Kluyveromyces lactis: one gene and its partner. The protein of the gene in region 1 purifies or fractionates together with the protein of each later gene. This does not show direct contact. Links are inferred from orthologs where the notes say so. Each region holds a gene or a part of one and is shown on either strand. Other genes may lie near its edges.

Region 1 (16,011 bases):
GTATAAGCACTCTCTTCTTCTCATTGGAGATTCTTTGTATATGTCCGTCAATAACTTAACACCCAACATCTGATCTTCCTTATTCGTCGATCTGACGAGACCCCAGGCGTAATTGAAGCGTGATTGAATAGATGATATTTCGCCCCCTTCATTGAGCACCTGTTGCCTTAAAATTTCGATTTGATCGCTGTTTAATGCAGAATATGAATCCTCCAATTCAGGAAGGTAGTGGATGTTAGTCATACCGCAGTATTTTTTTGAGCTTGTGCGAGTGATTTCAAGATAAAGAAATAACTGCTACCTTCGATCGTTTCAGATGTTGTTAATGATATTGTTTCAAATTCAATGTCAAATTATCAGTTTTAACTTTTCAATTTATTTTTCTTACGTCCGCTAGACATCTCGAAAACGTTTTGATTATATACAAATATATACAGAAAGTCATCTCTGAGAATTGGTACAGAGGCATCGCAATAAGATCAGCAATTGAAGTTCCGTTCCAAATATCAACACTGATAATTGCGGTAATTTATCCGTTGGTTCATTTTTGTCCAGAAAACTTACACTAGAAACATGGAAGATACAACAAAATTGAATACTTCTAAGTTGGGAACTAAGGAATACTGGGACGATTTCTACTCATTAGAGAAACAAAACTTCGAGGAGAACCCTGAGGATACTGGAGAATGCTGGTTCGCTGATAACGATGCAGAGGAGAAAATGGTCGAATTTCTACTAGATAACTTGGGCGAATACAATATCAAAGAAGACAGCTCAATGATTGATCTCGGAACTGGAAATGGTCATCTTTTGTTCACTCTATTGGAGGAAGGTTTCAAAGGTGAAATGATCGGTGTAGATTACTCTGAAAAATCAGTCGAGTTTGCTGCTGAGATTCTCAAGACTAAATACAGCCAAAATGATAACGTAACTTTTGCTACGGCAGATATATTCAATGAACAATGGGCCCCAGGTAAATTCGATGTCGTTCTAGATAAAGGTACACTAGATGCCATCGCATTAAGCGGTATAAAATTTGAAAACAATGAAACCGTGGTAGATGTCTATCCGAAAGTGATAGAGAAGATATTAGGCGAAAACAGTATTCTGTTGATTACATCATGCAATTTTACAGAAGAGGAACTCATAAAGATTATTGAAACAGAGACGTTGAAAAAATGGAAATCGGTAAACTATCCAATATTTGAGTTCGGTGGTGTCAAAGGAACTACAATATGCAGCGTTGCCTTTCTCAAATCTTCTGCTAAATAATCTTAATTAAGGTATTATTCAAAAGGTTTTAAGTAGTGTCAATTTTACAAAGTCTGTTTGAATCAGAAGTAATATGTCCAATTCAATTCTCCAGGATATGAGCATTTACTTTCTCATATAACTCATCTGCTATTTCAGCTTTTCCTGTCCTTAAGGCATACTGGACAGGATTCTTGTTCTCATCAACTGCTAATATTCTGACGAACTTTTCTCCGTTCAGAGAACCTGGGAACCCTTTTTTAATAGAAAATCCTTTTACAAGCGGTAGATTCAATATTACTTTCAATAACCCACGGGATCTCATTACTATTCTCGACTTTTCTGAAACTTCATCTTTATTTAAATGTAGAACACCAATTCCTCTTTCCTTCCAACCATCCTTTATATCGGTAAGCTGATACAGCTTGGCATTTGTTTGGAAGATCGATTCTTCTGTCTCTTCGCCCGATTTGACGTCTTGTTTCGTTAATTTTACTGTTGGCTCTCTTGATTGGGCTGGAGTACTTTCCTTTTTTTCTGATTCGACTGTTTGCTTGTCTTTTGCAACACTATCTTTGGAGGCTACTTTTGCAGCTTTGAATCCAGCACCAAATGATAGACCAGATCCGAACGAGAAACCTGGTTCAACCTTGACGGTGTCCTTATTTCCATCTTTCTCAGTGGTTTTAGCCGCAGGTAAACCAGCAGAAAAAGCATTGGCTGCTCCAAATGGTTTAGTTGCCACTCCAAAGCCAGAAACAAAACTTGAAGATTGGCCAAATGTGAACGATGGTTTTTCCACGTCTTTTTCTGGTTTAGGTTCTGTTTTCTTCCCTTCTATCTCTGCCTTGGCGCCCTCATCTTTTTCCTTGGCCTCTTCTTCTTTTTTATTATTTGTATCTTCTTCTTTTGTTACCGCTGTTTCCGTTGTCTCAGCAGTTTCAATATTTTTAGGTCTCTCTACGGAATTGGCCTCTTCATTTGCTGTATCATTCTCTGTTATGAACTTATCAGTCTCTTCTGAAGGTTTTGCTTCATCTTTATCATTGAGTTTGACCTTCTTCACAGGAGTTTCTGTGCTTTCTAATTCCGAATTCACCTCAGGAAGCGCACGTTTATTGCTATCGTTTAAAGTTTCTGGCATTGTGAAAAGCAGGAACAATATACTGGAGCCTTCTTGACAATATTATAACCCTTTCTTGGCATATGTCTGTGCTTTCAATAAGAACTGAATGTTTAAAACTAGTACTTTCTCTTTTTTTTTTTTTTGGAAATACTAACTCTGAGAGGTCCCAGTAATACTTAATAAAGGGCCTGCACTCCATGTGAACAAAGGCCAAACAAACAAAGATCCGTAATGATCGCCCATTGGTAGGTGAAACTGGATCATATACGTTAGAGTAAATATATCATACTAAATTAAGTAAAATCGTACTGTTATATAGTTCTTTATACAGTTCTTCTATCCGAGAGATAGTGAACGATTGGATTGACACCCGCAACTTGCGTTAACTTTTCGAACCATGCGAGAAGGATACCCCCATGCTTTTGACCCTCAGGTATAGACATACCCTTGTATAGGTATTTTATCAATGCGTCTTGTTGCTTGCGATCCAAGCGCTTAACTATATTAGCAATATCCACTTGTCTCACTTGGGTTAGCACCTCCAATATACCAGAGAAATATTGTGATTTCGCTTGTTCGTCGGCGTTGTATGGAGGATCAGTTGTGAATAGCTCAACAGCAGCTGCAAAATCACCAGATGATGTGTAAGAACGTAACTGTTGAATGGTTGGCTGTAACTCTTGTAAACTCACGGTATGTGAATATGGTGGTTTCAAATCATCCGCCGTTAATCTCCCACTTTCAGGATCGTAAGCATCGATATCAATTCTTCTCCAGTCTTCCATATTACTAGTTCAGAAGGCAGCTGCTTGGATGAATACGATAAGGATAATTCAGCGCTAATGCTTCCTGATAAAAGAAGTAGACCGGCCTGCAGTTATTTCGAGTATTTTAACCTAATCCATTTAAAGGTTTCCATTCAATATGAATCCCATTCAATAGTAACTTATAGGAGATATCCGGGTAATAAATCTGGAAACAGGGTAACTATGGTTTACAGCACTGGACCGATTGACTGTTTATCACTGACAGGAAGAACGATAAGCAGATGATAACATTATCTTCTTATACATATATATTAACTAAGTTCAAATTGATATAGATATACGGGTTATTCTTTGGTGGTTCCGTTTATTGAATAATCTTATTGTCTGGAATACCGTCGTATTCACCGTAACTCAAGGCCAGGTTGATGTTCTGTAAGCATTGAGTGGCAGCACCCTTCAATAAGTTGTCAATAGTAGCACAGACTACGACACGGTCTTTTGCATCATTTACCTTGAAACCACCAACAACTACTCCGTGAGTACCAGAAACGTCCTTAACTAACGGAATATCATCGGCAACATGTACCAACTTTTCGTTAGCGTAGAATTCGGTGTACAAGGCCTTAATTTGTTCTGAAGATAGTGAGTTCTTCTTAATAGGAATAGAAATAGTATGAGAAATACCTTGGAACCATTGGGCAACATGAGGAACAAATGCGACTTCCAAACCCAAACGAGTTGAAATTTCACGCTCATGGATATGGTTTGTTAAGGAGTAAGGAATTAGATTGTTGTTCAAGAATTTTGGATCATTCTTTGGAGATGGTGTAGTACCAGCACCAGAATAACCAGAAACACCAAAGACTGTGGGTAATCCTGTGATGTATTCCGATAGAGGAGCAATCGCTACTTGGGCACCGGTGGCGTAACAACCGGGGTTAGCAATCTTTTTAGCATTGGCAATTGCTTCTCTGTTGTTTAACTCTGGTAATCCGTAGCTCCATTCCGTCTCCGGGACAAATCTATGATCAGCGGATAGATCGACAATTTTGGATTTACCGTTGGCAACCGACTCAATGGCCTCAACGAATGGTTCGCACACTTTGTTTGGCAACGCCATGACCCACACATCGACAGCACCTTCACTTTCTAGTTTCTTTATGTCATCAATTTGTAGATTCGAATAAATAATCTCAGACTTGTTATATCCTTCCAACTTCTTACCAGCGTTTTGACGAGAGGAGACGTGAGATAATTCCAAAAATGGATGTGAGTCTATCAATGAAATAAGATTTTGACCTGTGTAACCTCTGGCACCAATCAAAGCAACTTTAGCAGGGCTCTTGTTAGTGCCTTCTACTTTAGGAGCAGATCTGGCCCTAGTGGAGTAAGATCTGGATGATTGACCACTGGAAAATACACCACTGGAGGAACCAGAGAAGGATGGAGCGGTACCGCTTTCAGGGGAGGTCTTAATGAACTCGGATATTAATTCGGATACAGTGTTCAAATCTTTGACACCATACCAGAATAGAACCTTACCGTTCTTCAAATAGGAACCATCAGATTTGTTGAAATGCCAAGCGATGTTCGCATCATCTTCATTGATCACCCATTGTAGGGCAGGGAAGTCACGTTTCAAAGCTTTGAAAACGTTATCGGTGACGTTATTCAACCAGCCGGTCTGGGAACATAGGAATTTATCTAGTTTTGCCACCACAGAATCTTTCTTGACAATGGCAAGAACATCTAGTGGTTCATCAGCGTAAGAAGTGAAATCTGATTCGTTCAAGTCTCTCAAATAAGAAGCAACTGATTGAGCACCGGATTGGATGTCTGGGTCACTTTGTAAGATATCTCTCAAAGCGTCAGAGGATGGGAATTCCTGTAAAGTAGATCTTCGAATTAACTTGTAGCCTCTTCTAATCAAAGTACCTGCACCAGAATCGGTGAACAATTCTTTTTGCAAATCTTGAACATTGATGATGGCCACGGACGAAGATCTTGGCAAGAAGTCCAACAAATCTTTAATTTCTTTGATTTTCAACTTAGTTCCGAACTTGACCCAACTTTGCTTCATCAATTCATCGTATTCTTCATCTAAGTTAATCACTGAAACCTTCTCACCGGTGCTACCGTTAATGATACCGCCCTTCTCATTCAAGTAAACAATTTTTAGAGGTTCAAAGACTCTAGCAAGTTCACCAGCAGCGACATCAGCATTGACATTCAACATTTGACCAGAAGGAGTTTCGGCCAACGAAGTCAAAATTGGTAAGACACCAGCCTTGATTGAAGCTTCAATTGGATCTCTAGCTACAGAGGTGATGTCACCTACTAATTTATACTTATCCTTATCCAAATATTCAGCGGTGAAAACACCAGAAGTAATTGGTCTAGCACGAACACCAAGTTGTTCCAAAGCAGTAACTAATTTCAAATTCTGTTCCAAGAAACACTGTCTAACAACAGCCATGGTATGATCATCGGTAATTCTAATACCATCAATATAATCAGGTTCGATACCTTGGGCTTCCAATCTACCGTTCACTTGAGGACCAGTACCATGCAAGACGATTGGGTACAACCCAACGTGATACAAAAATGCAAGGCACGATGCCAATTCCTGCAAGTTATCACTGATAATAGCACCACCGACTTTAATAACAGCAAATTGCTGTTGCGAAACCGAAGTGAAGTACTTCAAATATTGTTCTACTTCTCTTTTCGATCCAATATTGTTCAATAATTGAATAACCGTAGATCTAGTCCCAGTAGATCCAACACCGTTAGCACTAGAAACAAATCTTTTCGAATAACCAACTCTCTTTGGGATTGAAGGAGAACATCTAGCCAAAATCGAAGCAACTTTGCTCAAACGAGATGGATTCAAACCCTTCGTTGACATCAACAATCTCGCAGATGGGACAGACATGTTTTCTTCTTCTTCTTCTTCTTCTTCTTCTTCTTCTTCTTCTTCTTCTTCTTTATCTAATCAAAATCCTTTAAAGAAGATAAAACAGTTGGCTTGGCTCACTATCACTGAAAAGGCAGGTATCAACACTTTCCTGCAAACCCTTTAATTTGTCCTGCAGATGGATAGAGCTGGTCTTAACTTCGATTAGACAATAATGCTGTTCAGTACTTTACGAGTTAACTCATACTTTAGATACCTAATGGAAATACTTAGCGAATGGGAAACTGAAAACGGTTTTCTTTATATGTGCGATTCGCTGAGTTGCCATTTTTTTTTTTTTTTTTGTTTGACTGGAATAATTTTTTCCATCGTTATTTTGGAATCAGTCATCGATCAAGAAATTACTCATGCATACAGAGGTAGTGGTTCAGTTATGCTTGGCCAGTGGGCACAATGTAGGAGAACTGCGTAGATATGAGAACAGAGGTAGAAATGGTAGGAAGTACATATAACATTTAGCCATGGCTCATCTGTATGGCTACTTATATGAATATATATGAAAATGTATATAGATCACTGCAGCAGTTCTGATCACGTGCTATTTGATGTGTCTTTTTATCTCATCTCAATACATCAATGTGTCTGTAGAACCATTGGAAGTATCATTGCGAGATCTGTCCCTCCTTGATCGGTAGCTAGAACTTGCAGTTTTTTGGAAATTTGATGCAGGTGAGGATATTGGACTAGTTGGTTGATAAGAATGGGAATGCCCTTGTGGAGGACCTCTTCTTTCGAAGGTATCGTGTCTTCTGATGGGTCTTCTAGCATGTTCATGCATCGGTCTTGTTGAAGCACCAGTTAATTTATTTACGAGATCTTTCCTTTGGTAACCTCGTCCTCCTAATCCTCCACCTAGACGTCGAGGTTTGAAGAATTTCACCGTTCTGCCTCTTTCTATATCAACGATGGATGTTCGGCCCATGATTTCTATTCCCTTCCTTACACCAAGCTCTCTGAAACACTGTTTGGAGTCTTCATAACTGGTAAACTGCACAAAACCGTATCCTCGGCTCTTACCGTCTTGGTCTCTTACTATTCTGCACGATTCAATGTCGCCGTATTTGACGAAACTCTTCTGTAGTTCAACTTCGTCTACGGCATAGTGTAACCGTCCGACAAATAATGTGCGGTAGGGGTCACTAGAAATGTTTGCATCTGATTCAGGGTGCCACTCTTGTATTTTCTTCATCAACTCCTCCTGTTCTTTGTGCGATTCGTTCATGGCTTCATCATATACTTTCAAGTGTTGGTTCTCTGATACGGGATGGGTTGCCTTCTTATACTCTGAAACATGTTGCAACACGGCTGATACACCAGTGAGTGCATATTTCTTGTTCTGGTTTCGCCTTACTCTCACTCTCGATGGTGGTAATGGTGGACCTTGTGTAAATAACTTTGATACTGAAGACGGAAGTTTGGTCAAAGTGTGAAAGCCATTATGCCTGTTGTATTTCCTCGTTTGTGGTTTCATCTATTAATTGGAATGGATATGTGCCAATATTATCTTTATTGATGCGCTTACCGCAGTATCGAGGTTAAGGTGTATGCGCTGAGGTAAAGTGTATGTAATTATATTCCATATTTTTGGCGCATCTTTACTATTTAGATGTTAAATGTTACAATTTTCACATAATTGATGGAAAAACCTTAAAAAGAGTGTGTCAAAATATGTATTTTAATGTGAATGCCTTTGACAGAAAGAAGAACCCAGAAAGACAGTAGATTACAAGGTCTGATTTGGAAAAATGAAATTGAAACAGTTGTTTATCTAACAACCTGGAACGGTTTATATTGAAAAATAAATGAATGTACATGAATATATATATTTATTTATATGCTAACTTCGTAAAAGAAATATTATTGGAATCATACTGAGTACTGATTATACGGCAGCAGTCTGTTTCTTACCGTGAATTAATTGATTTAGTAGATCGGAAGAATTGCTTTGTGGCTGGCTCATAACTTGCTGCGCCATGCCTTGCTGCGCCATGCCTTGTTGGGCTTGTAGTTGCATTTGCAGTGAAAGCTGTTGTTGCTGTTGCTGTAATTGCTGTTGCTGTAGCTGCTGCTTCTGCTGTTGTACTAATTGTGGTTGCTGGACAGCAATTCCCGGTGGTAACATGGTAGGTGTAGCCTTGTTTTGAATGAATGGCAGAAGAGAGGACATGTGGTCCACAGGTTTTATAGTAAGCAAATCACATAGTTTGGCACCCAAGACACCTTCAGATTGCTCACTACATCCAATCTTCTCAAATGAAAAAAGTGATGGGTAACTTTGATATGTTTCGTCATCCAATAAGTTGGAGTTGAATGTGTAGCTTCTTTCAGGAATATCTGATAAAAACTTAAAAGTTTGATCTAGGAACTTAACACATGTTGCCATTGGATCGTAAGGATCCTCGTATGTCTTTTCGCCCTTCTTCTTCGAACTTACGTTAGAAGAAGAGTTTGCTGTTGGGGCAGATCCAGTGGTCGTAGGAGTGCCTGGACCTGGACTGTTCAGAGTTTCCCCCAAGGAGCTTGACAACGTAGGGAAAGTGGTAGAAGTAGAAGTCTTGTTGAAAATAGTAGAAACTGGTGTGGGTGCTTGAGATATACCCCATGGGTTTGAACCAGATGGAACTGGAGCTGGTGTTAGCACAGGAGCGGTTTGCTTCGAGCTTGAAGTTGCAGCTGCTGGCACAGTAGAGTCATCTGTTCTCAATGAAGCATGAGCAAGCTTTGGCGTAGAGCTTGCACTTGTAGACGGTTTAGCAAGTGTAGGTGGTGCATGTGAGTGATGGGCATGTTCCTTCCTGGCATTGTTGAAAGCATCCGCTTCTTCCCCTGGTTCATGTAAAAACATACAGTTCGGATTTGGACATGGTTGTCCCCTCAAATACGAGGAGCAGTACTTTGTTGTACCATATGCTGCTTTCACTTGATGTCCATCAATATAGATACCATCTATGGCTTGAATACATTTTGCTGCATCGTCTTTTCTGGAAAAAGTAACGTAAATACCGTAACCTGAATTTATATGACTCGATGAATTTGAAACAGAATGGTGCTCGTGTCCAGTCTTCTTATTGATGACGATCTTGTTAATTTTTCCATACTGGCCAAAATACTTGTCCGATCTCAAGATGGATGGAAGTTCTTCGTAAGGGTAAGGTGGATTCAACCCAATAACGTAAACCAAATTCTTCTGAATGACCCTCATACCAGCAAGCTGTTTCCTATTATGAGTGTCATTTTCTCTACGTTCACGCTCCCTTTGCTTACGATCACGTTCTTTTCTGGCCTGCTTGGAACGTTCCATTTTCAACTCTTCTGGAGAAAGAACGATGTACTCGACGCTTTCATCGTCGTACTTTCGACGACAAGCCGGACATCGACCATTAAGCTCAGGATTTTGACGAATATTGTTATAACAAAACTGACAAATCTGATATCCACAAGGACAAGGCTTGAAATGCTTATCCATAACATCGAGTGGTTCTATACAAAGTGGACACAAGTCCTCTTCGTCATCCGATAAGAAGGACGTATCGTAATTTGATAAAGCTTTCTGAATCTCATGCTGATTCTGATGAACATGCGGATTTTCCGTAGCCGTGGCATTCATCTTATCCGTATGTGTATTGTGTCTAGTATCGTGTATATCGTATCGAAATAGTGCTTTCTTGTTATCAGAGCTGTCAGATAATGTGTTATCCTTATAGTGTAAAATTGCCAAGATGTATTCTTTCGCCAGCCGATAATGATTCTTCGTATATTCTAGGACAGATAAATTGACAATAAATAGTTCCGCTCAAGCACTTAATTATTTCTAGAATTTATTTTTGGTCCTGTATGCTTTTTTTAACATACGTTTACAACTCGAAACTTTGGTAAATACACTATTTGAAATACATATATATTTTTTTTATAAAACTCTTAAAAGAAGTTTTTCAATTTTTTAAACAAAGTTTCCATGAACTAACTAAAGAACGATCGAAACTGAAATAAAAAAAAAAAATTTCCTGGAAATTCTTCCTTTAAACGGATACGTATCTTCAGAAGACGTAATATGAGGTCACGTGAGAAGAAATGTTCTGATGGGTTTGTATCATAAAATAAAAGGGGTTGGTTGACAAGGCATAATGTATGAGGAATAGAAAGCCATGTTTAGATAATCATAAAATTCATTCAGTCATTAAACACGCTAATTACGTATATATAGGAATGCTCAAATCAGGCCTACGTTACTTTTACGGCGTTTTGGGGGTCCTGTTTCGTTGTATCTCTCAAAAGGCGCGATGCTTTAGTGAGAAATTTGAGGTCATGTGACTCAAAATAAAACAATGGTCTCTAAGCTTCGACGGCAGCTGTTAGTGGTTTTGTCAAATAATCGACATCTACAATAGCCGAATCGTTGTGGCACTCCACGGTAATATGGATTTCGAAATCTTTACCGTGATACTGGGTTACATCATTATACTTCCATACAATGTGTTCAAACGATTCTTCCTTTGCCTTGTCTTTAAACTTCAAATCAGGCAGCTTGATTCTCTCTTTGATGTCCTTTAGCAAATGTTTTTCGATATGCTGATGCAAATGCCTCACAAACTTCTTTGAATGTGAATTGGCTGAATCCTTAATCTTTTCAGGATCCTCATGCGATTCGTGTAGTACAAATGGAGGATAGTACTTCAAATGACAATGAACGTGATCAAATTCCTCATCTTCAGTTTCGTTCTTAATGAATGTTTCGAAATCGTTCAAATCTTCAAACACCTTGACGACTTCTCCGGACTTGGTGGTGACATTAGCAAACTTTGGTCCTTTATCCTTCTTGGTCATTTCTGTGAATATTCTTCTCTGATGTAGAGTGTGTCTGTGTGTTAAAAGTTAATATATGTATTAACTATTGCAAATTGATGCTTGTGTACCGATGGTAGCACTCAAGAAAAAGGAAAAACACATAAACTTAGGGTATACGGCAAAGAGGATTAGCAAACTTGGAGTTAGGATTTTACCCTCTATTTATATGCCACTTTTACCTTTGTTGTCTTATGTGTTTTTACTCCAACACCCCTAACCCTAATTCCACATAGATCCAACCCTAATTCCGCAGAGGTACAAATAAACACAACCAGCTAGAGATAGCACACCACCATGAGGCTAGGTTGCACATAACACACCACCGAATTTTTTGCTACCCACTTTTCTTCCTCTTTGTCTCTATACCAACCCATTTAGTACCCACAAATAAACTCTGGGGTGTACGGTACCAAGCTTCGCCAAAGAGAATGCAACAAATGATGAATATACTGTGATGTAGTGATTGCTCATTGAATAAGTAGCGTTATTCGAAGTAAAGAATAGAAAATCACAAGACTGGGGTTAAAGCTGCATCAAATAGGCAAATGTGCGGCGTATCATGGTTTGCGCGCACGGATTATCTAACAAGTTTTTCCACCACTTAAAAATTGAGGGAGCGTTCCGCATAATTATAATTGCTTTTTTTGCTGACATCGGCATCCTGACTTCTTCTTTTGTAGTGCTCTATTTGTGAGTGGTGTTAAAAAAACATTCAAAGTGGCATGCTATTCTAAGGCAATATGGAAACATGAGAGTTCCTCTTTGAATATCTGGAGCTCCAGCCTATTAGGCAAGTTTTGTCAGACTGCTTGTATGGAAGAGGTTTTCGGGAAACCATATTCGACTCGGTAGAGTAAGAGATATGTCTGATTTATCCTCATATGAAAGGTTTTTAAGAATATAAGAATCAAGTATCGAAATATTTGCAAAATTTTGGCACTATGGCCGAGTGGTTAAGGCGACAGACTTGAAATCTGTTGGGCTCTGCCCGCGCTGGTTCAAATCCTGCTGGTGTCGTTATTTTTTGGAAATAACTTTTTTTAACTAGACAATAAGCGTTTAGCCGGGTAATATTTATTTATATATATCGGCTCCTTCCATGGAGCTGATACCGTAAGCTCACCTAATCTGCATCTAGATAATCGGGTATGATTAACAGCGACATAGCTATGTGATTATCTGCCCCATTACTTAAAGTAAGGTTTCACTTTCGGACTAAGGACGAATGACACAAGACACAGAACGCTCACACGGTTGAAACATTTTTTTTCCTGATCCTTTTGACCCTGTTTGTTGTCCCTCTTTTACGATGGGAGAATTGAATCATCCGCCATTAAACCGAATGTGATAGTTTTTCCAGTTTTTCTTCCCCTCCCTACATCCATTTCTAAAGAATTCACGGACATTTTCGCATGAATGGGGAAAGTTGACTCAGTTGACTCTATTTGGTTCCTCAGCCAAATAGCAGGTTAGGCATACTGGGATCTGGACGGCTTGAAACTGGTCAACTGTTTCAACGTAATTGGAACTCTAAGTGACAAATACCACAACCGAGTATCGCAATTCAGGGATCAATGGACGAACAAAACACGATTCATTTGCACATACATGGTACCGTTTGTAATCAGAAATGATCAGACGAAACCAGAAAAATGGTGCATATCACACAGACGGACAGACAGTTAGAGAAATCGACTCATACCTTTCCCTTGATTAAAGGGAATAATTTGTCGTCAGTGTGAAAATTTTGGTGGGAATTAGAGCCATGATTGGTTGAGTTAAGCAAAAAAGGACCTTAGTATTAGGTACTTCCATTACGTGTGTGATATATTCTGTGACATCCATTTAACCATGATATTTTGAAATTGAATTAGGTTAGTTCAATTATACCTTAAGGTTTTAGAATTTTTGTATAAATATAGGATGAGGTTTGAGAGTCTTGAATAACTGATGGTATGTTTCAGAAGTATTTATATTCTACCTTGTATTTGTTTGTAATTCTTTCTATTGATCTGAAGAAATCATCAAACGATATTGTATTGTATTGTAATAGTCACAACTACTTTGCAAAACATATACGAATTTAATTGATATTATCATAGGAAAGTTTTAACGACAAAACATACAAACCCAACATAATGGTCTCCGTTAAGGCTTCTGCTGCTGAAAAGAAGGAATTCTTACAAAGTCAAATTGACGAAATTGAGAAATGGTGGTCCGAACCTCGTTGGAAGGACACCAAACGTATCTACTCTGCTTACGAAATTGCAAAGAGACGTGGTTCAGTAAAACCAAATACTTTCCCATCTACTGTGATGTCTCAAAAATTGTTCAAAATCTTGGGGGAACACGCTAAGAACGGCACTGTCTCCAAGACTTTCGGTGCTTTGGACCCTGTTCAAGTGACCCAAATGTCTAAGTACTTGGATACCATTTACGTTTCAGGCTGGCAATGTTCTTCCACTGCATCAACTTCTAACGAACCGGGTCCAGATTTGGCTGATTACCCAATGGACACTGTACCAAACAAAGTGGAGCATTTGTTCAAGGCTCAACAATTCCATGACAGAAAACAATGGGAACGTATCTGTGATGGTACCATTGAAGAATCTGAAATCATTGACTATTTGACTCCAATCGTTGCTGATGGTGACGCTGGTCATGGTGGTTTGACTGCTGTCTTCAAGTTGACAAAAATGTTCATCGAAAGAGGAGCTGCCGGTATCCACATTGAAGATCAAACTTCTACAAACAAAAAGTGTGGTCACATGGCTGGTAGATGTGTTATCCCAGTACAAGAACATATTAACAGATTGATCACTTGTAGAATGGCTGCAGATGTTTTGGGTTCAGATTTGATCCTTGTTGCCAGAACTGATTCTGAAGCCGCTACTCTATTATCCTCTACTGCCGATTCAAGGGACCATTACTTCATCTTGGGTGCTTCCAATCCAGCCGTCAAGGGTAAACCATTGAACGATTTACTGAACAAAGCTATCTTGGACGGTGCCACCATCGATGACTTACAAACCATCGAAAAAGAATGGTTGGCCAAGGCCGACGTTAAGCTGTTCCACGAAGTATTCGCTGACGCTGCCAAGGCTGCAGGTAAGGACCAATCCGTAATTGACCAATTCAACAGCAAAGTCAACCCATTAAGTGAAACATCAATCTATGAAATGCAAGCCTTGGCCAAGGAATTGTTGGGTACCGAATTGTTCTTCGACTGGGACTTGCCAAGAGGCCGTGAAGGTTTGTACCGTTACCAAGGTGGTACTCAGTGTTCTGTGATGAGAGCTCGTGCCTTTGCTCCATACGCTGATCTATGTTGGATGGAATCTAACTACCCTGATTACGAACAAGCTAAGGAATTCGCTGAAGGTGTCACAGCTAAGTTCCCAGGCAAGTGGATGGCTTACAACTTGTCACCATCTTTCAACTGGACAAAAGCTATGTCTGTCGACGAACAAGAGACATTCATTCAAAGATTGGGTGACTTGGGTTACATCTGGCAATTTATCACTTTAGCTGGTCTACATACAAGTGGTTTAGCCATCGAACAATTCTCCAAGAATTTCGCCAAGTTAGGAATGAAGGCATATGCTCAAGATATCCAAAAGAAGGAATTGGATAACGGTATCGACATGGTAAAGCACCAGAAATGGTCTGGTGCTGAATATATCGATGGTCTATTAAGATTAGCACAAGGTGGTCTCGCTGCCACTGCTGCTATGGGTCAAGGTGTCACTGAGGATCAGTTCAAATAAGCACTTCCCAACTTGAACAGCCAAAAAACACAAACAAACAGACAAGCAAAATGTCCTATACCACAGCCGTACATACATGTAACAAACATCCTTTGCAAACCATATATTATTTTATAAGTAGCATATTCTTTTATAAGTACTATCATTTATTATTATCATTGATTTGTTTATGAACTTGGGTCAAAAATATCTGCAGATTCCACGTAAGCACAGGAATGAGGCGACTCATTTTTACCTTCTGAACAGTAAACCTCGAAAAAAAGAAAACCTTGCCAGCCATGACTGGTGTTATTGGCGTTGGAATAAAAGGTACAGTTGGAAATAGATCAAGTATAAAAGTGCCACAACTTCTTTTTTTGAGCTCTTCTTAGAGATCCACGTACCTGTTTTCTGTAATTGCAGTTAATTCGCCCTTGAGGAATTCTTCCGTCAACCCTGCCCCATTAAGTATGTTTTTCCGGATAATTCCTGACATAATTCACGGAAATGCCTTAAGGAACATGAGAGGAGAGAAAAGTGCCGCCCAAACAAAGTTTTGAGACTCAACCGTAGGTAGTTTTTCCGAAACGTCCAGAAAAGAAAACTTTACTTCAAAAACCGAAGTTTCGGTTACCTATGATTTCGCCACGATGGTACTGATAATAAAAGAATTGAATAGAGAGATGGCTACGTGTGTTCAATAATCGGAATGCACAAACTGAAGCTCTGTACTTAGGTTAGGAGTGTCTCTTCTGATCGAGCATGTGACATAGAATGACTATCTACTAACAATTTCCGCTAACCGAAAACACCTGCAAGCACAAATACGAGGCAGATTTCAACCGCCTTGAGCAGTCCCACTTTATTTAAATCACCCCCACATCAAGAAAGCCCAGTTACCACGTAGTTCTAATCATCATTATAGGTGACTGCCTTTTTTTTTTTTCCAATGTTCTCGAGACAGAAAATTTGAGAAAAAAAATTCCTACGAAAGTAGTCTTGATAGTCAAAACAGAAAATATAAGCTCTTTTAGCTGCTAGTATTGGCAGCACCATCTATACTACTTTTATTACTGCGTTGTTTATTTCTCACTTGATAGCTCTTCTGAAAATAGAATTAAGGACGGGACTACCCTAGGAATTAAGAGCTTCAATTGGAATTCTTCTTCTTTGTGCGACTCAAAGTGCATAAGTCGGAAAACAAAAAGAAAATGGTGATGATGTATAGTACTCCCCACTCAGGAAAATAACAAGAGCCATGAGGCGTCAAACCTTCTGGTTATTTCATGATTAAGTAAA
Region 2 (16,794 bases), on another chromosome or scaffold:
TGGTTAGGAAGGCATCACCTAAAGTAATTTCGTTATCAGATTGAGGGAGTATTCCCAAGACACATTGGGAAGAACTGCTCGTTGTAACAATGTAATCACTTAAGGGGGATATGATATGGAAGCCACCAAAGTCGAAGACAAGATCATAATCACTGCCAGAATCACAATCCACAAAATAGTATCCTGAACTGGAAGAGTACGTAGCACTAACAGAACTTGCAATGGCAGCAGCTAAACTACTTGGGAAGTAACAGAATGTGGCACCAGTGTCTAGCAATGCAGGGTACTTAGTCTGTGTCACAGTCTCGTTACCATAACTGCTCGTCACACCGATACCTTGTAGAGTGATCGATAATCTAATCTGTTCAGTGTAGCCTATGCTTCTGAGAGCGTTGACCATTGGAACGGTGTACAACGTACCTGTATATTTGCTGTGATCGACGGCACCGAATAAGATAGAACCAGAATCCGCATCTAAGTCATTCAAGAAAACAGAATATGCATTCTTTTCGATGACGCCGTTTCTTTGCAACACGATAGGGAAGTTATCGTATTGATAGCGGTTGTAGGTGCTTAACTGACCGGAATAAGTGGATTCAGAACCTGTCAATCCAATACCTAAGACACCGAATTGGGAATCTGTGTAGTTCGAGACAGCAAAGCTGAGCCCCGTGACGTTGACATCGTCCAAGTGAATTTCATCTACACCCCAATCACCATCAGCAAAGGTACCATCCGCGTAAGAGATATAGAATCTAGTGTCATTTGATTGCCAAGAAGACGACTTTGACGTGTCGAAAGTACCAAACTCAGAACAATCCAAAGTGGCCAGGCTTGATGGGACAGATCTTATAGAAGTAGCAGCCACTGTACCCGATGTGAGTGCAGTAGGAACTGTTTGCGTACCAGCACTACCAGTGGCACTAGCGATACCAGTGTAAGTGTAATCGGTGGCTACATCAGTACCGAAAACACTCAGTAAAGACGACAACAGGGCAGTATAATCCTGTCTTTTTTTCTTCGAAGAAGACCTAGAAGCGGAGCAGAACGGATTGCCCGATCCAGGCACCCACAAATCAGAAGAACCAGTATCGATTAAAACACCAACCTTTTGTGCAGGAGTACCAATCTCTAAATCAACAGAGTAAAACGTGTTCTGGTTATCGATTTCAACGTCGACGTAACCATCTGCACGCTTCTTCAAATGGCCAACGCGTCTCTTCGATAATGACGCCTCAGACGCGTCATTCCCTCTCAACTTGTCAAAAGACATGAAGACATGCTTCTTATTCGCCTCACCGACCTGGGAAACGTCACGTTTCGTAATATACCCAGCAGAACCAAGGGACGCCAACAGCGCCCCCAAACAAACATCACTTAACTTCATTGCTGGTGTTTGCTATATATGCGCCTTGGATAATAAAAGGGGGAATTAGTAACCAGTACCAAGAAATGAACTTTAATTATTAAAGAAAAAAAGACGTCAGCCAAAGTATAACGTCTTCTGTAAAATGAAAAGACCCTTTATATATATACGCTAAGACAATAGCCGCTGTTTTCTTTCCAATTCAATGAGTCAGTTACCTCAAACTTTTAGGAGAGAAGGTACGTGATGTGAAATGCAAGATGGGTAGAAACATTTTCCAGTGTACGTTTAATCGTGGGAAAAAAACCTTTATAATAAGGCAAGTTTCATAGAACTTCCTTTTTTTTTTTTTTTTTTTTCAACGTTTCAAAGTTCCCACATCGCCAACTTTCGACACGGGAAACAAGCACAAGCCTTCATAGAGCGGGGCATTTCGTCAACGATTAAATATAGAAATGAAACGAGGCAAGAAAAAAAAAGAACTGAGGACACACCGTGAATGCAGATGGGAGCGTAACGGGCCAAGCCCCATCGATGACGAGTATGTTTTTTACTCTGTAGAATGTAGAGCAATGTGTAGTTGTGTAGTTGTGTTGGCTACGTTCTCCTCAGGGTCTGTCCTGTGAAGTATATCTGGGTAACTAGGTTACGGACGTGGTTTATTTTGAGTTGTCATTTGAAGCGTTTTGGCAATTTGGTGACCACTAAGTTATCTGGCTCTCCAGTAATACCCGTAATACGCAGTAACTGGGTGAAGAAATTTTGACAACTTTGTTGCCTGAGCACTCCATCGCCGAAAGGGTGATTTGCTGCAATTTTTTTCCTATATCTTATTGAAGAACTGAAAATTATTCAATTTGGTTCAATTCTGTGACGTGATTGATTGATTGACGGTCTTTGCACGCACGCAAGCACGCATGCATGCAAACACACACACACATGGGAAATTAAAGATCGAAGATGAGTAGGATTGTTAAGGAGTATATGGGGTTGCAGAAACGGTTGCAGACCCCTGAATTCTCATGGATCAGTTTTCTTGCACCGGTAGATGATGATGACTTATCCGAATGGGTATGTCGATTCCAAGGCCCGTCAGAATCGCCGTTTGAAGGGTTTGAGTTGGGTTTGAACATTACCATAGATCTGGAAAAGTATCCGATCAGTGGCGGTCCTCGGGTTCTGTTTGAGCCACGTACCGTGGCTCACCCTAACGTGAAGTGGGACACGGGCGAGATTTGCCTAGATCTTTTGAAAGATGCATGGACCCCGATATATACCTTGCTAGATGTTGTTGGAGCTATAAGAGATTTGTTGGCAGACCCTGGTTTGGACTCGCCACTAGATCTAGACATTGCCCAGATATACGATGCTGACTATGAAGCCTACGTGCAGATTGTTAGGTATAGACTTGAGGAGGCGCGGTTGGCACGCGTTTGAGTACGACTTTTACGTAGAAATACACAGCAACATGGCTGGATTTTTCATTTTTCCTTGCAGTGAAATTGAATAGGAATGATTGAAAAAGGATTAAATGATGGAAATGATGCAACTTATATTCCTTTGTACATGTTTTATACACAAATGTATGTTACTTTGACTTAGTACTTTCTTTTTGCCTAGCTTCCCTATTGTTCGCGGGGTGGAGACACTTGATTATCGAAAGAGAAATGGCTAGAAAGATTACATGGAAAGACGTTGGGGTTAAGGACGGGTTCCCATTAATTTCACCTGGGTTCGCTACAGAATCGGGGAATCAGTTACTATTCAGTAGTGGTTGTGTTGGTACAGATCCTGTTACCAATGAACTACCTGAGGATTTGGAACAACAGGCTAGAAATTCCATGATCAATTTGAAGAAAGTGCTTGAAGTATCTGGATCTTCTGTTGATTCGGTCTTGAAAATCTTGCTGTTCGTTTCCGATGGTAGTTACGCTGGTATCGTTAACAAAGTTTTCAAAGAATTCTTCCCTAATCAACCTGCTAGATCGTGCATTGTCGTTGCATTCCCCAACAATAAATTGAAAGTCGAATTAGAATGTATCGCTGAGATTCCATCCAAGAAAAGATGGTTCAAGTTGTGAAGGCGGGGTTTAGATTTTCCGGGCTTTGCGTTCCAAAAACTGTGGTGGAAAAGCCTATTATATATATGCCTCTATAGCATGTTAATTATACTATATGTTAACGAATATATGTTTAAAGAACAGACTTTGCTGGGAAATTTACGAATGTTCTTAATCCAATCTATGCCATAATAACTGAAAAGCAAATTCAATTACCATGGCACAGGGTGAAAGTACAAGGTGAACGGCGTGTAGTGTCCGAATCAAGTAAGATGTCGAATAAGGTTGCTGCGATGTGAAGAGCATTGAATTGTAATAATTAGGAAGAAAAAAATAGAAGGGCACCGGATGAGACTTGAGCCTGCAGCTTGTTTATGTGTATATTTGTGGTATCCGATTGATAAGAATTAATGAGTTTTCCAAAGTTAAGACCAGCTTTCCTCTAAAACGGTGAATTGAATGATAGGTTTAATGTATGCAGCGATGGGGTAGGATCAGTCCATTCCCAAAATAAAGTGCATTATTTCAGCTTCCACTGCTGTAGATACTCTTGAACCACTTCTTCGTATTGATCTACCGACTTCTCGTCGGAAAGTTCATCTGTCTGTTTTGGTGGGAACTTCAAGGTCATCTTCTTATCCTGTGGTTGATCCAACTGATAAGGTTTCAAACTTGCAGATACTTTATTAGGTACATCGTTCCATTCAGGGTAGAACTCCATCCCCATTGCACTACTGGACCAAAGAGCGCTTTGTAACAACTTGTTTGGTATCCGTGGATTATAACGCCACGTCCCGTTCACGCCCCCAGATAAGATCCCTCCGGTCCCGTTGGGACCGGCCATGAATGGATGTTCTGGTTCGGATGCGAAAGCTGCCTTAGACTTTAGTTTACCTCCCCCATTCTTCTCCCTTTCCACTTCTAGTTCCTTCACTTTCGCTTGGAATAGCGGGTTATCCCTCAGCGGAGACACAATAGGCCTGTATCCGCTGAACAAAATGTCAGCCGTGAGTTCTTGTGGCGCAAGAAACCTTGTCGTTGGCACGCGAGGAAGCTGTCTATACATTTGTGTGGCTTTGGACTTTGGAAATGGCATTTTCCTATGGTTGTATTATACTTTTTCGATGCTTTGATGCTTTCAACTAGATAGTAAAACCTGTTTAGATTCTTATTTGTCCGACAGTACGTTATCAGACCTTGCTTTTAAATAGTCTGACAAGAAAACACGATATTTCCGATAAACGATTTAATCCCCTGTTTCCTCTGAAAATATTAATCCACCGAGCTTTAGGAAAATCACGTAATTTCACATACTTAAATACTTAAAGCAACTAAGTAATCAATTTCGAGACGATAATCCAAGCGTTAAACCCTTGAACTATATATACTCATTTTATATATGTCAGATCAAAGGATGATGAAACCGCATATGTCATACGTTGCTCACCGAGTCAATCCGACTCGTTTTCACACTATGTCACTATGTGTCTAAATAAGACTTCACACACCCCTGGTTTTTCTTGTGTAAGACTCAAACATTCTGGGGGAAATAGCGGGCAAACCTTCGGGTACCACGCGTGTTTCTAGCTCAGTTTATGGGTGAGAATTGAGATTAGCCAAATTCTGAAAAACTAAGTAAAGAAATGCAAAAACCGGCTAACGGTATATGCAGTGTTAGCTGGTGCTCTCGGCGATATCGGATCAAGGATTGGTATCTCGGGGCGGGTGTGTGGGTGTATTACAAATGTTTAAAGGAATGTGATATTCACGTGAATATCACGTTACTGAACTTTTTTGGAGGAACCCATCTTTTTTTTTTTTTTGAAAAACACATTTACAGATATCAAATGTTATAATACTATTATAGTTTATGTTCTAACATGAGATGAGGTGGGATGAGAGATCGAATGAAATGAAGCTGGGTGTACTTTTAGAGGATTGAGCTGGACTTAACTGAGTCAGTGAAGAGGAACGAACGGAAGAGCTGCTACTGCTTACCCTGGTATCGGTCGTTTGTTTTGTTTTAAGACTCACTCTTCTGGACTATAGAGAAAACCCTTTTCTCTAGCGCCGTGTAATTTGCATACGCATTCCAATTTACCATGCTACAGGAAAAGAGTTCTGTTCAGCGATTATTTTTGGCCGATTCGGATGTTGATGAGAGCGTACTGTTAGAAAAACTCGTCATTGCTCTTTTTACCACGGTTCCTGGACAAGCGGTTGTCACACAATTGATTAATGATGCCAAACGAACAAATGACGTTGATGGGGTTGAGTGTCTGATACGAATGAACGATCCCTACTGGGTGGCACTTTTCGGTACTTGGGCAACTGATAAGCATATTTTGTCATTATTTCTAGGGTGGGTTTTAAGGAATGAAACGGATCATATCGATTTAGAGAGGTATTCAGATCAGTCGTTTAAAATGGCTATGAGATTTCTTCTCACGAATCAGGACCCCAAATTCACTGCACCACTATGGGATACATCCAACATTTTACTAGATTATTTGCATAATGCTAAGCCTTTGATAGAAAGTGTTCTTAAGAAACTTGACGGCTCGCAGTTTTTGCAATGTCTAATGAAATACAACCGATTGTATGAATTTAATGGTTCTTACCAATGGTTTACCCCTCCGCAGTCCACATCACATGCAGAATCTCCAACTACAATTTTAGAACGTAATTCTACTTTTTTATCTACTCTAGGGAATTTTGGTAATGATATGGTTCGTGCTCTCTCTCAGTTGAAAACTGGCGATATACGGCTGAATTCACTAGAATCATACGGAAAGAATTCTGGGCATAATAATCCACCGTTGTCAAAACAAGATGATCACAATCCGTTAAACTTGAATGGCAAATCTGATCGATTTAATTTGTTTTTTAAGCTTGGGTTACACAAAGAGCCTCATCCACTCCTTGCAGAGCAATTTAACTCACTTTGCTTATTTGCGGATCCCATGACTCAACCTCCTCCAAACGATTCTCATATAATTTCATTGGATTTATTGCATGACCTGTATCTAGGTTCTTTGACTGCTTATATTGTTAAACTGATACCCAATTACCAGAAAGTCTGGAAAATTCATTTGAGCGCAAATTTGGAAACTATTACATTGGCTATTTTGCAGATGTTGCAGATTTGGGATTATAGATCTCTAGACAATTTGAAAGATATCCAAGCAAGAAGCCCTGATGCATACCCTAAATACATGACATCGTGGATCCCATACGATCTTTCTCCGCCCGAAATGGAAATTCTTTATATGATTGCAGGATTATCTTTCTATTCGATGCACAAGATGCACTCTGATAAGCCGCCGAGGTTGAACCCATTCTTACCTATGATGCTTCGAGCATGGAGAGGTTTAAGTTCAGCATTAGTGTTAGGTTTGCAAATAGATAGGTTTGAGGAAATGCAGATGCTATATGGTACTCCAGTAATTGTTAGTGCAGTCATTCGTGGAGCTTCTGCGTTGCGCTCAATTATCGCAACGATTCTCAACGGTCATGTGGATGAGAAGTTGCACGATTTTAAACATCAACCTTTTGGTGGGTTCATGTCTCCTCATGGAAGGAAATTATGCAACGGGGCTCTTTACACATATGAAATGTATTATTTCGCAGCACTCCTACCATCAGGTATGGATTATGACGAAATTGTTGAATTATTGACTGATATACAAAAAGGAGATAGAATTGATGAAGATGTCAGATATATGTTTGATTATGAGTACTTTGATTACAATGATGCAGATACAAGTAAGCTAACAGATGGTAAGCTTATGTTTACATCTACTAAAAATGAACTCGAACAGAAAAATAGATTCAGAATGCTTAGGGGACTCTACAAGCGCTGCCTTTGCAAGTTTAGTGATGAAGACGACAATGATGACGATGATGACGATGACGATGATGATGACTATAATGGTGAAAAAAGCGTTGTTGGATTGGATGAGAATGGGCAGATCAATGAAGCTGAAACCCCTCAAACGTTTAGCGAAAGTAGCAATGCTGTTGCTTTCACATCTTTAATGACGCACAGAGACTCTCAAAATGATTTCGTTTCTCATCTTACAACAGGTTATGATAAAAACGGTGATGATTGGAGGGATATACCTCGTGGATTAAATCTATATTATATGGATGATTACCAATTTTTGTCTAAGTTGGACAAAGTTTCTCTCTTTGAGTTGTTGAGACGATTACCAGATAGAAACGTAACGTTTTCTCAAGCCTGTACGGTATTGAGAAGTATTGCAACATGTGTGAAGCTAGAACAAGAACAAATTCTACTGAAATTAATTACGGCCACTTCTGCAGAGGTAGATTTGAAAGTGCTTCCTTTTTCTACTGATGAAGTTATTACGGCAATTTTTAATGATGATGGAGGAATTATAAAGCCTTTTCCATTTTCAGGCTGCAATGATAGCTTAGGGTGGAAAATCTTCGATGAGTTGATGATGAGCCATGGGCACAGAAGGCTCTTAATCTATCACTTGACACATAGGTCGTACACTTTCTCGTCCATCCATTACGTGTATGAGTTGTTATTCGGTCTAAGAGGCAATCCTGCCAGGAGTTATGATTTAGAATCGACTAAGAACAAACAATTGGGGATTCTTAGCTGGACACCCACTGGAGAATTCGAAAGGGTTGCTGCAATTGAATTCTCTAGACAAGGAGTTATTGAACTTTCTGCAATTGAGAAAAAAATGTTGCTACAAGAATTTTTCGTGGGTGTGTCTTCAGGACTGCTAGGTGAGTATAATGATGCGGGTTTTGAAGCTTTTTCAATTAAAAATCCTTCAAAAGTGTATGTAGATGATTATGGTGAGGAGTTCTTCTCTGCAACATCGCGTAAGGCTGAGATGTCTGGGAAAGTAAAGATGGTGTGTTTCATTTTAGAAGAAGTATTAAACGATAAGGAATTCGAGTTTGTTCCACATGAAGATTACGTTTACGAATTAAAAAGGTTTTTGATGCAATGGTCGACGTTTTCTGCTGAAGCATGTTCCATGTATGCTCTTTTGAAATCGAAGGCTTTAGGGAAAGTTCTTGATCTAGGGACCGAGGGGTTAGATGATCGGCCAAATACTGACCCTGATGATCAGCTTTTGCCAGTAGATTTTGATAAATTAAAACTAAGTGACATAGATGACAGATGGGATACGGAGACTGATACAAGCATTGAGAATGGTGATAAGACGTCCATTATGTCTGAAAGGTTCTCCAGAATGCTACCAGTTCAATCTCTTGATGGACAGCCTGTTGACAAAGTTTTCCGTCACCTTCTTCAGAAATATCCTTTGACTGAAGGAACTCCTATTCACGGAAGGATAACTTTGGAGTACCACGATCATATTCTGCCACTGGACATCAGAACGCATCAATCATTGCATAGAGAATTTTTGGCGGTCTTTGATATTGATTACTTAGACATATTAGAAGCTCGGCAGCAAGAAGCAGAGGAAGAGTGTGATGAAATGTCTATTTAGAATACTGATCTCGTAGTATTTCTTTCAGAGCGGCTAGTTTGTCTTTGATACCCAGAATATAGTACATAATTTCATTTTGCATGTAGGAATTTTGAAGATTATCAAGAATAAGTAGCGCGTTCTCCAATTGAAGTAGTTGAGTTTCTAACTTAAAAGAGTCCGACGGTGTCTCTTCTAGCATCAACTGCGATAACTTTTCCGATATCGGAGGAAACCGAAGTTTATTTTTCATCATCTTTTTGAATAATTCAGTGCGCTGTAGGTTATCCATTCTTTTGTAATAGGCGATTACCTTGGAAGCAAACTGTTCTTGTTCTTTCTTGGTAAGAGTTTTATTGATTTCCAGTTCTTTGAAAAGAGATTTATTTTCTTTCTTGATATTAGAGAATAGGGTTTCAGGAGTGATATTCGCTTTTGAAATAATGTGTGCCAAGTAGTGATACTTTGTTGGTTCTAGAGTAACGTCTGAATCTTCTTCATCTGAGTTTTCAGCTGAATCTTGTGCATTATTTTCATTATCATTATTTGAATTATTGAGCTGTTGAGAGCACCACGTTTGAAATAGTTCATCCCGTTTGTCATTAGAAGTAATCAAATAATAGCGTGGATCATGCATTATCCGCTTTGCTTGGATCGACCAAGTTGAGTAAGGATCTAGTTGAATTTCATTAAGTAATTGAATGAACTTAGATTCTATTTCCGTGTTATTCAACGACGGTAGCGTATCCTCTTCTTTAACATCTATAGAAGATGGATCATTCTTTTCTTCTACCTCTGATTCTTCACCAGAATCATCTGATGAGGAAGAGTAACCAGAAACTAAAATATTACTCGATTCGGATTTATCTTCCGTGTCCACGTTAGAATTTGTTACTTGTGGTCTCTCCTCAGTGATATCGTTTTGTTCTTTGTCGTTACTGTCGAGTTTTGCTTGTAAAACATCTCTGATCTCTCCATAAACGTCACGGTCATTTCGAAGATTGAACCCTCGTGCTACACCTATAAGCAATGCAAGAAGAGATGTATCAACTTTATCCAACAAAGCTTTACTCTCATCATCCGCCAGTTTGAATTGGGACACATTAGATTCATCGTTGTGAAAGAATTTGGAACCATCTTTACAAATCACTAGGTTCCAGTAGTTTCGTAGAGGTAAACAGAACACTGGCACTCTCAATTCCTTCATACCAGCTTGCTGGCTTCCGAACTCTTTTGGTTTTTCCTTTGTGGATACCTTGGACCTCGTATTGAAGTAGTAGAAATTCCCCGAAGGATCTTTAAATCGCTTCCATTCGCTCATACTTGATTCAGATAGGAACAATGGGCTCTCCGCCAATTTAGTTAAAACTTTAAAACTTTACTTTCACAGACAGGTGCAGCAATGCAAATAACATCTCTGAGACAGGTCTTCCACCTCGTACACTGGGTTGTTCTCACTAAGAAAATCCATTGAAGAGCCGTTAAACAAAGGTTCGTTCTTTTATTTTTTTTTTAATGTCGACCTTTAAAATGAAATAAAATACAATCAAAGTTAGAAGAAATCCAGTGGCAAACCTTTGAAACTAGAGATTGAACAGCAATTGGATTCAACCAGATAGTTAAACTTGTAGCTAAAGTTCATCGAAAGTAGCAGCAAGAGCATTTCTGTGAGCGTACAGGTAATTGGTCTGTGAGAATATAAAGAACAACTAAGAAGTCAGAACAGATGGGGTCCAGAAGATACGATTCGAGAACAACCATTTTCTCGCCAGAGGGAAGATTATACCAGGTTGAATACGCTTTAGAATCCATTTCACATGCTGGTACTGCGATTGGTATCATGACTGAACAAGGTATTGTATTAGCAGCTGAAAGAAAAGTGACATCGAAACTATTAGAACAAGATACTTCAAGTGAGAAATTGTACAAGTTGAACGATAATATTACGGTTGCAGTAGCTGGGTTAACTGCAGATGCTGAGATTCTAATAAATACAGCCAGAGTACAGGCTCAGAGCTATTTGAAGACGTATAATGAGGAAATACCTGTTGAAATGTTAGTAAGAAGGTTATCCGATTTGAAGCAAGGGTATACTCAGCATGGTGGTTTGAGACCATTTGGTGTTTCGTTCATTTATGCTGGTTATGATGACAGATACGGGTACCAGTTGTATACCTCGAACCCATCTGGTAACTATTCCGGTTGGAAAGCCATCTCTGTTGGTGCCAACACACAAGCTGCTCAAACTTTACTACAAATGGATTATAAAGACGATATCACTCTGGATGGGGCCATCGAACTAGCCCTAAAGACTCTATCTAAGACTACAGATTCAAGTGTGTTGACCCACGAAAGATTAGAATTCGCTACCATCAGCAAGGATGCCGAGGGGAAGATATACCAGAAGATCTATAAACCAACAGAGATCGCTACACTATTGGAAAAAACCGAAATAGTAAAGAAGGATGATGATTAACGATAACGACAAGTCATCCAACACATGTGTTCAACTACTGGACATTAACTGCCTTTATCCTCACTGCCATATATAAGTACGTATGTGTTTTAGAATGTAATCATCATTCAATCAGTCTACTGTCGAAAACGTCTTTACCTTTACAATTAATTAAAGAATTGAAGCTTTTTGTTGTTAAAATACTATTCGCGCATGCAATGTTGAGAAAAAGGATAAAACAAATTAAAGAAAACTCGTAGCTAGTAACTGTTTGGGCTTAATCTCATTACTCATTTAGTATAACCACGGTCTAATAAGCAAATGCTATGAAGTATGTCTGATGGTAGCGTTATATCCGCCGTTTAAACCGCAGAAACTTTAATTTTACTAACACTTATAACATCAAAAGAACATTCTTCATTACAGGAGATGTGCCTGTTGGGTATCAGGTGCCCGATTTCCCATCCTTATATTGGCCCATGAACAATGGTAAGTTCAGCGTCGCATATCTCTACTACCTCCCCGATATATGGAGGTTTACGATCTTCTGGACCATGATTCTATTTGCAATAGTATACGGAACTACAGGTGCAATCGCATGGACTACACACAAGAAAATCTTATTCGGCTTTTGGATGATCCCATTGTATATAATGATAGGCATGGCGCAGGCGTTTGTCTCGGGAACTGTGGTGGGTATATTGATCGCGATCATATATAAGGCAGGGTTATTTGCAATGTCTACATGGATTCCCTTATGCTGTGCTGTGGTCCAAATTTTATTTAACGTGAGCACAAGTTACTCGATGACAAGTCCGATCATATGAGTGATGTATATATATTAGTCGCATTCGGTTATATAGTTAATTTTAACCGTGACCCATTCCCTTCCTGACCTACACAGTTCATCTTAGCTCATCTCGGCCCTTTCTTTGGAATAGGTTTTTCCGTGCGGTCGGTATAAAAATGAACAAGGCTTATAAAAAGAACCAATCCAGAAACATGGAACAGGTAACTTAAGTAAACGAAACCTGTTAATATTGCTCTCGAGAAAACAGAGGATATAAGAGAATTGGAAGAAACCAGTTAGGATATCTTTTACGTCATACTTAGGGGACAAGGTAGATATCATCTAGATCCAGACTATATCCCATATCGTTTAATTTTATCAAATATTAAGGAATTGGAAGTATAAAAGATGCCATCAGTGGAAGAAAGTGTAGCTACAATTAAGTCAGAGTTGAAGTATTTGAAGGAGCAAGGTGCATTAGCAGAGTTAGCATATAAGGATATTGAATCGTTGTTACCAAGAGTAAGACCACAACCACCAGTAGCAGATACGATGGGTCAAAATAACGAGATTGTGGAAGCACTATATGCATTTCAACCACAACAGGATGGTGATTTAGCTTTGAAACCGGGAGATAAGATCGAGATCTTGGAAAAGTTAAGTCCTGAGTGGTACAAGGGCAAATGCAATGGTCAAGTCGGTGTGTTCCCAAGCAATTATGTGAAGTCAGTTGACACGAAAGATGTCGAAAAGAGAAGCTCTTCTGCAACTCCGGTTGCAAATCTGCCTCAATATGCGGCATATACTCCACCTGGACAGCAGATGCAAGTTCAGCCGCCAGTACAACAACAATCACCATTCCCACCACAGTTTACCGGTTATTACCAGCAACCAGTGCAACAACAGCCAATGCAACAATACCCTCAACAGCAGCCTCAAGAACAACCTCAAGAACAAAGCAGTCATCAAGGCTCCGCAGCATTTAAGAAGTTCGGAAGTAAATTGGGAAATGCTGCCATTTTTGGTGCCGGTGCCACCATTGGTTCTGATTTGGTGAACAGCATCTTTTAGAGATAGTTAATGCCATGTTTCTTACTAAGAAATTTTGATAAATTTACCTTACTAAGGCAGAAAATAGAGCTTTTTTAGCTCAGGCTTTCTATTTTGTCTTATTTTGCCAAGAAGCAAACACAAATCATTGTTTTATTCCGCCAATTACACTCGTTTATTCTTCTTCTTCGTTGCAAGCCTTTTTTTATTTCTCATAGATTTACCTGGCGGTTCATTTATGCTCATATGCTCGCATATGTAGAAATTAGCATTTGATGTTTGCAGTACCTACTTTTTCTACATAAATTTGCCATACATATGATGAATTCTGTTAATAACGTTTATCTTAGCTTCATTTGTTGAACCGTAATCGCCGAGGTCGTTACAATCACGGACCCAGATTGGTTTATAATTCTTGGGTAAATATTTGACCATAACCATTTTCAACGTGGCTACCTCCAAGTTGAGTAATGCAAGACTCTTCATCTGTTCATCGTGAGGGATTACTTCTTCCGATAGTGGCACATTCAATAATCTTTCAATTTCATTCAAAGACCTATTGATGGTGAACTTGGTGCCCTCCAAATCCTTAGCCCATTCAACACCTGAGCTTATTGAATGGCTCAAGAAATTCCGTAAAGCCCAAATAATCAAAAGCGCTGGAAGTAAGGACACAATAGAAAAGAGTAATTGTTGAGATTTTAAAAGCTTGTTGATACCATTCATAGCCATCGAACCGTCAACCTTCACCTTTTGCAATTGAATCAACAACGAACGAACCATATTGTCAAAAACAATGCTTTTCACAGGGTTCTCGATCTGATGTTCATAAATCTTCATAAAATCTTGTAAGTCACCGTCCATAATCTGTTTCGTTAAGGAATCAACATCTACATTAGTTCCCGGTGGAGAACGATCTCGGAGAAATTCGACAATCATTCGGATTAATGAGTTCAATTCCGATGTCAAGTTGTCCTTTGTTGTGACATATAATTCTCCTGAATCGAATCTAACGGTGTCCCAGATCTGAGTAATCGGTGTCCAGATCCAATTTTCCCAAAGACCTGACACAAACTCATATGAACCTTGAGACACAGTTGTCCATAGAGATTGTCCGTTTTGAACGAGTTTCTTCAAAAGCATAGGTCCGTAAATGGACAACACAGACAATTGAAACCATTGTCTCTGATACCAAGGGGGGATACGGACGTCTTCTGGTATGGTGAATTGTAGATGGGACACGGCATTCAAACGAGACATGATTTTATCCAAGGACACATCTTTCAAAGTCGATTCTGTGTCAGCTTTTTTACCGCCATCATTCTCATCATATGTCTTGTTTTCAAAACGGGACAATTCTTCACCTGTTGATACCAATAGGGAATCAATTTCCGAGGTTAGCTTTTTCGATACATCATCCAATTGGAAGTTTACGAGCCTTGTTGGTGTTGCTAAGATATCAGCGGCATTCACTAAGTCGTTTACTTTCAAAGTCTTGGCCGTAAACATAGTCCTTAGAGTCGATACTTGGAATCCATGCTTCCAAAATTGGAACGGTATCACAGTGTATTTCCACACTGATCCTCTGAGTTTAGAATAATAGTCCCTTGCCTGTACTAGAGCATGGTAATGATCCATCGATAGTTGCATGTCATAATAGAACTGCAAAATGTCCATATACTGCAAGATTATATCAAATAAATATTTGTCCGCGTTTGTAGCCTGAGACTCGTTTACACCATGTTCGAAACCAATGTCTGTAGAGACATTAGGCACTGTCACAATATCATCGTTAAGAGTCTCATGTCCTGCTACATCAATGTCCTTCATAGCAGTTGCGTCTCGTGTATCTTGTCCGTGAGATATCAATTGCGACCACTTTGTCTGTAATGTATCCCAATGCATGTCATGTCTCACATTCTTTTCGATGGCGGCAATCACTTGATCAGCTTCCTGTTTTAGTTCTATGACAAACTCGTTTAGCGGCAATGATAATGCCGATTGGGAAATTTCTTTGTCCCTACTCCAAAAAGCAAATTGCTCTTCGAGAGAGTTAGTGACTTGTTTTAGCCGCTGAGAAATCAACGAATCATTCAACATATTACTAACCCCGTTCTTATAGAAAAGATGGCCACAATTGAATCAGTAATTGGTCGCTCGCTTGTTGTTTCCAGTTATTTCCCCACCCTTCTCCCTTTTCTTGAGTAAAAGTATAAGAAGATATTCTGAAATTATAATCTATTGAACAACTATTGAATATTTCCTTTTCACTAATCCATTGTTCCTACGCGCGTTTATAAAACGAGACTGGGGCTTCAAAAAAAAAAAAAAAAAAAAAGAAGGATGCTGATGATGACATAAGAGCCGGAATACTTCAAGATAAGGAACAGTGTTAATATGAAATGGAAGGCACAATTTGACTTGCACCTTACTGGGTAATATTTGTCTTTGGCACTTATGTTTGCCGTCTATAAAAAAAATCTCTCTATTATTGAGTTTGAATTTATTCATTGAATTATCGATTTATACCAACTGAATAATCAATATAGTTTATAGTTTTTATTAGTATATTAGTGATTAAGATGATAATAATTATTTATTTATTTATTAACGCCAGTTAGGAAGATTAGATATTTGTGAAGATTCCGGGTTGGCAGAATGGAAGATGGGAGGAATAAAACGTTGTTTGTTAGGTTTCACACTATCTTATCCTGGGAATTAAAATTTCAGCTGTAGAAAAACCAGAACGGAGTTCATCTTTGTATATCCACGCATCATAACTACCGTTGTGTCTGAAAGGGACCACCATTGGTGATATTATTAGAATGTGAAAGGGAGGTAAAATGTTGTCAAAGGAAAACACGGGATAATCGCACTACTGAAATCATACTAGTAACAACCTGTGTCTTCCGAAAATGACATTAATATATTGAAATAGAATGGGGTCGTGGTCGTCATTTGCTCATGCGTATCGGAATTAAGAGATCTTTATTTTGCACGCTTGATAACCATTCTATGTGTAAAAGTCTTACTTCCTGGTTGAACTTAATCCTTACTCTTTCTTGATTGTTATTCGATTGTTTGAATTTAGTGAGTTGTGTCGAAATTCACATGGCGTCAGCAGAGTAGTCCTTCTTGGATAACTTAGCTCTTAGTGCCTTACCGTAGTAATAGAAGGCGAATGGAATCAGAATCATGGCAGTTGAGATGAAAGCAAGTAACCATGAAGCCCATTGTAATCCCAAACGGTCGTACATTTGACTGGTGAACAATGGGAAAGCAGCACCACCAGCAGAACGTAAGAAGACCTTGGTAGCCAAAGCACTAGAAGCGTACATAGCGTAACAGTCGATGATGTAGTTGTTCAAGGAGTAATAGATAAGGACCATACCATACCCGAAGGCAAGACCAGAAGAAGCTGGACCGACCCAAATAATGTGCTTGTATGACGTAGCACCTAGAATCCAAAGAGCAATAGCAGCAAATGGAGCACCAATCATGGCACCCAATAGACGATCTTCAGGCGTTGGCTTACGTTTGTGAGTCAATGCGACGTAACGAGATTCACACCATGAAGTAGTGGCTAAAGCACC

Evidence for each region.
Region 2: the proteins of MOT2 (region 1) and CAF130 purify together in Saccharomyces cerevisiae (affinity purification with mass spectrometry; 4 studies listed by BioGRID, with this or other methods). This does not show direct contact. The link is inferred for Kluyveromyces lactis from reciprocal best matches to the Saccharomyces cerevisiae genes MOT2 and CAF130.

What each region holds. Positions count from the first base shown.
Region 1 is NC_006039.1:697,513-713,523, forward strand, and holds MOT2 (CCR4-NOT core ubiquitin-protein ligase subunit MOT2), read right to left. Parts: upstream 9,729-16,011; coding exon 8,004-9,728; downstream 1-8,003. Other genes in the region: FIS1 (Fis1p), read right to left, coding at 1-243; EFM4 (Efm4p), read left to right, coding at 574-1,272; YRB2 (Yrb2p), read right to left, coding at 1,355-2,395; ARC15 (Arc15p), read right to left, coding at 2,701-3,162; ARG56 (bifunctional acetylglutamate kinase/N-acetyl-gamma-glutamyl-phosphate reductase), read right to left, coding at 3,509-6,079; U1 snRNP complex subunit SNP1, read right to left, coding at 6,687-7,592; KLLA0_C08063g (uncharacterized protein), read right to left, coding at 10,454-10,945; ICL1 (isocitrate lyase 1), read left to right, coding at 13,105-14,733. UniProt on the Saccharomyces cerevisiae protein: E3 ubiquitin-protein ligase component of the CCR4-NOT core complex, which in the nucleus seems to be a general transcription factor, and in the cytoplasm the major mRNA deadenylase involved in mRNA turnover.
Region 2 is NC_006041.1:351,128-367,921, reverse strand, and holds CAF130 (CCR4-NOT core subunit CAF130), read left to right. Parts: upstream 1-5,528; coding exon 5,529-8,927; downstream 8,928-16,794. Other genes in the region: KLLA0_E04049g (pepsin-like aspartic protease), read right to left, coding at 1-1,387; PEX4 (E2 ubiquitin-protein ligase peroxin 4), read left to right, coding at 2,327-2,803; KLLA0_E04005g (RidA family protein), read left to right, coding at 3,034-3,447; SUE1 (Sue1p), read right to left, coding at 3,947-4,522; URN1 (Urn1p), read right to left, coding at 8,920-10,227; PRE9 (proteasome core particle subunit alpha 3), read left to right, coding at 10,633-11,382; MAY24 (May24p), read left to right, coding at 11,688-11,692, 11,771-12,188; KLLA0_E03873g (SH3 domain-containing protein), read left to right, coding at 12,560-13,222; NCA2 (Nca2p), read right to left, coding at 13,499-15,301; KLLA0_E03829g (MFS transporter), read right to left, coding at 16,309-16,794. UniProt on the Saccharomyces cerevisiae protein: Acts as a component of the CCR4-NOT core complex, which in the nucleus seems to be a general transcription factor, and in the cytoplasm the major mRNA deadenylase involved in mRNA turnover.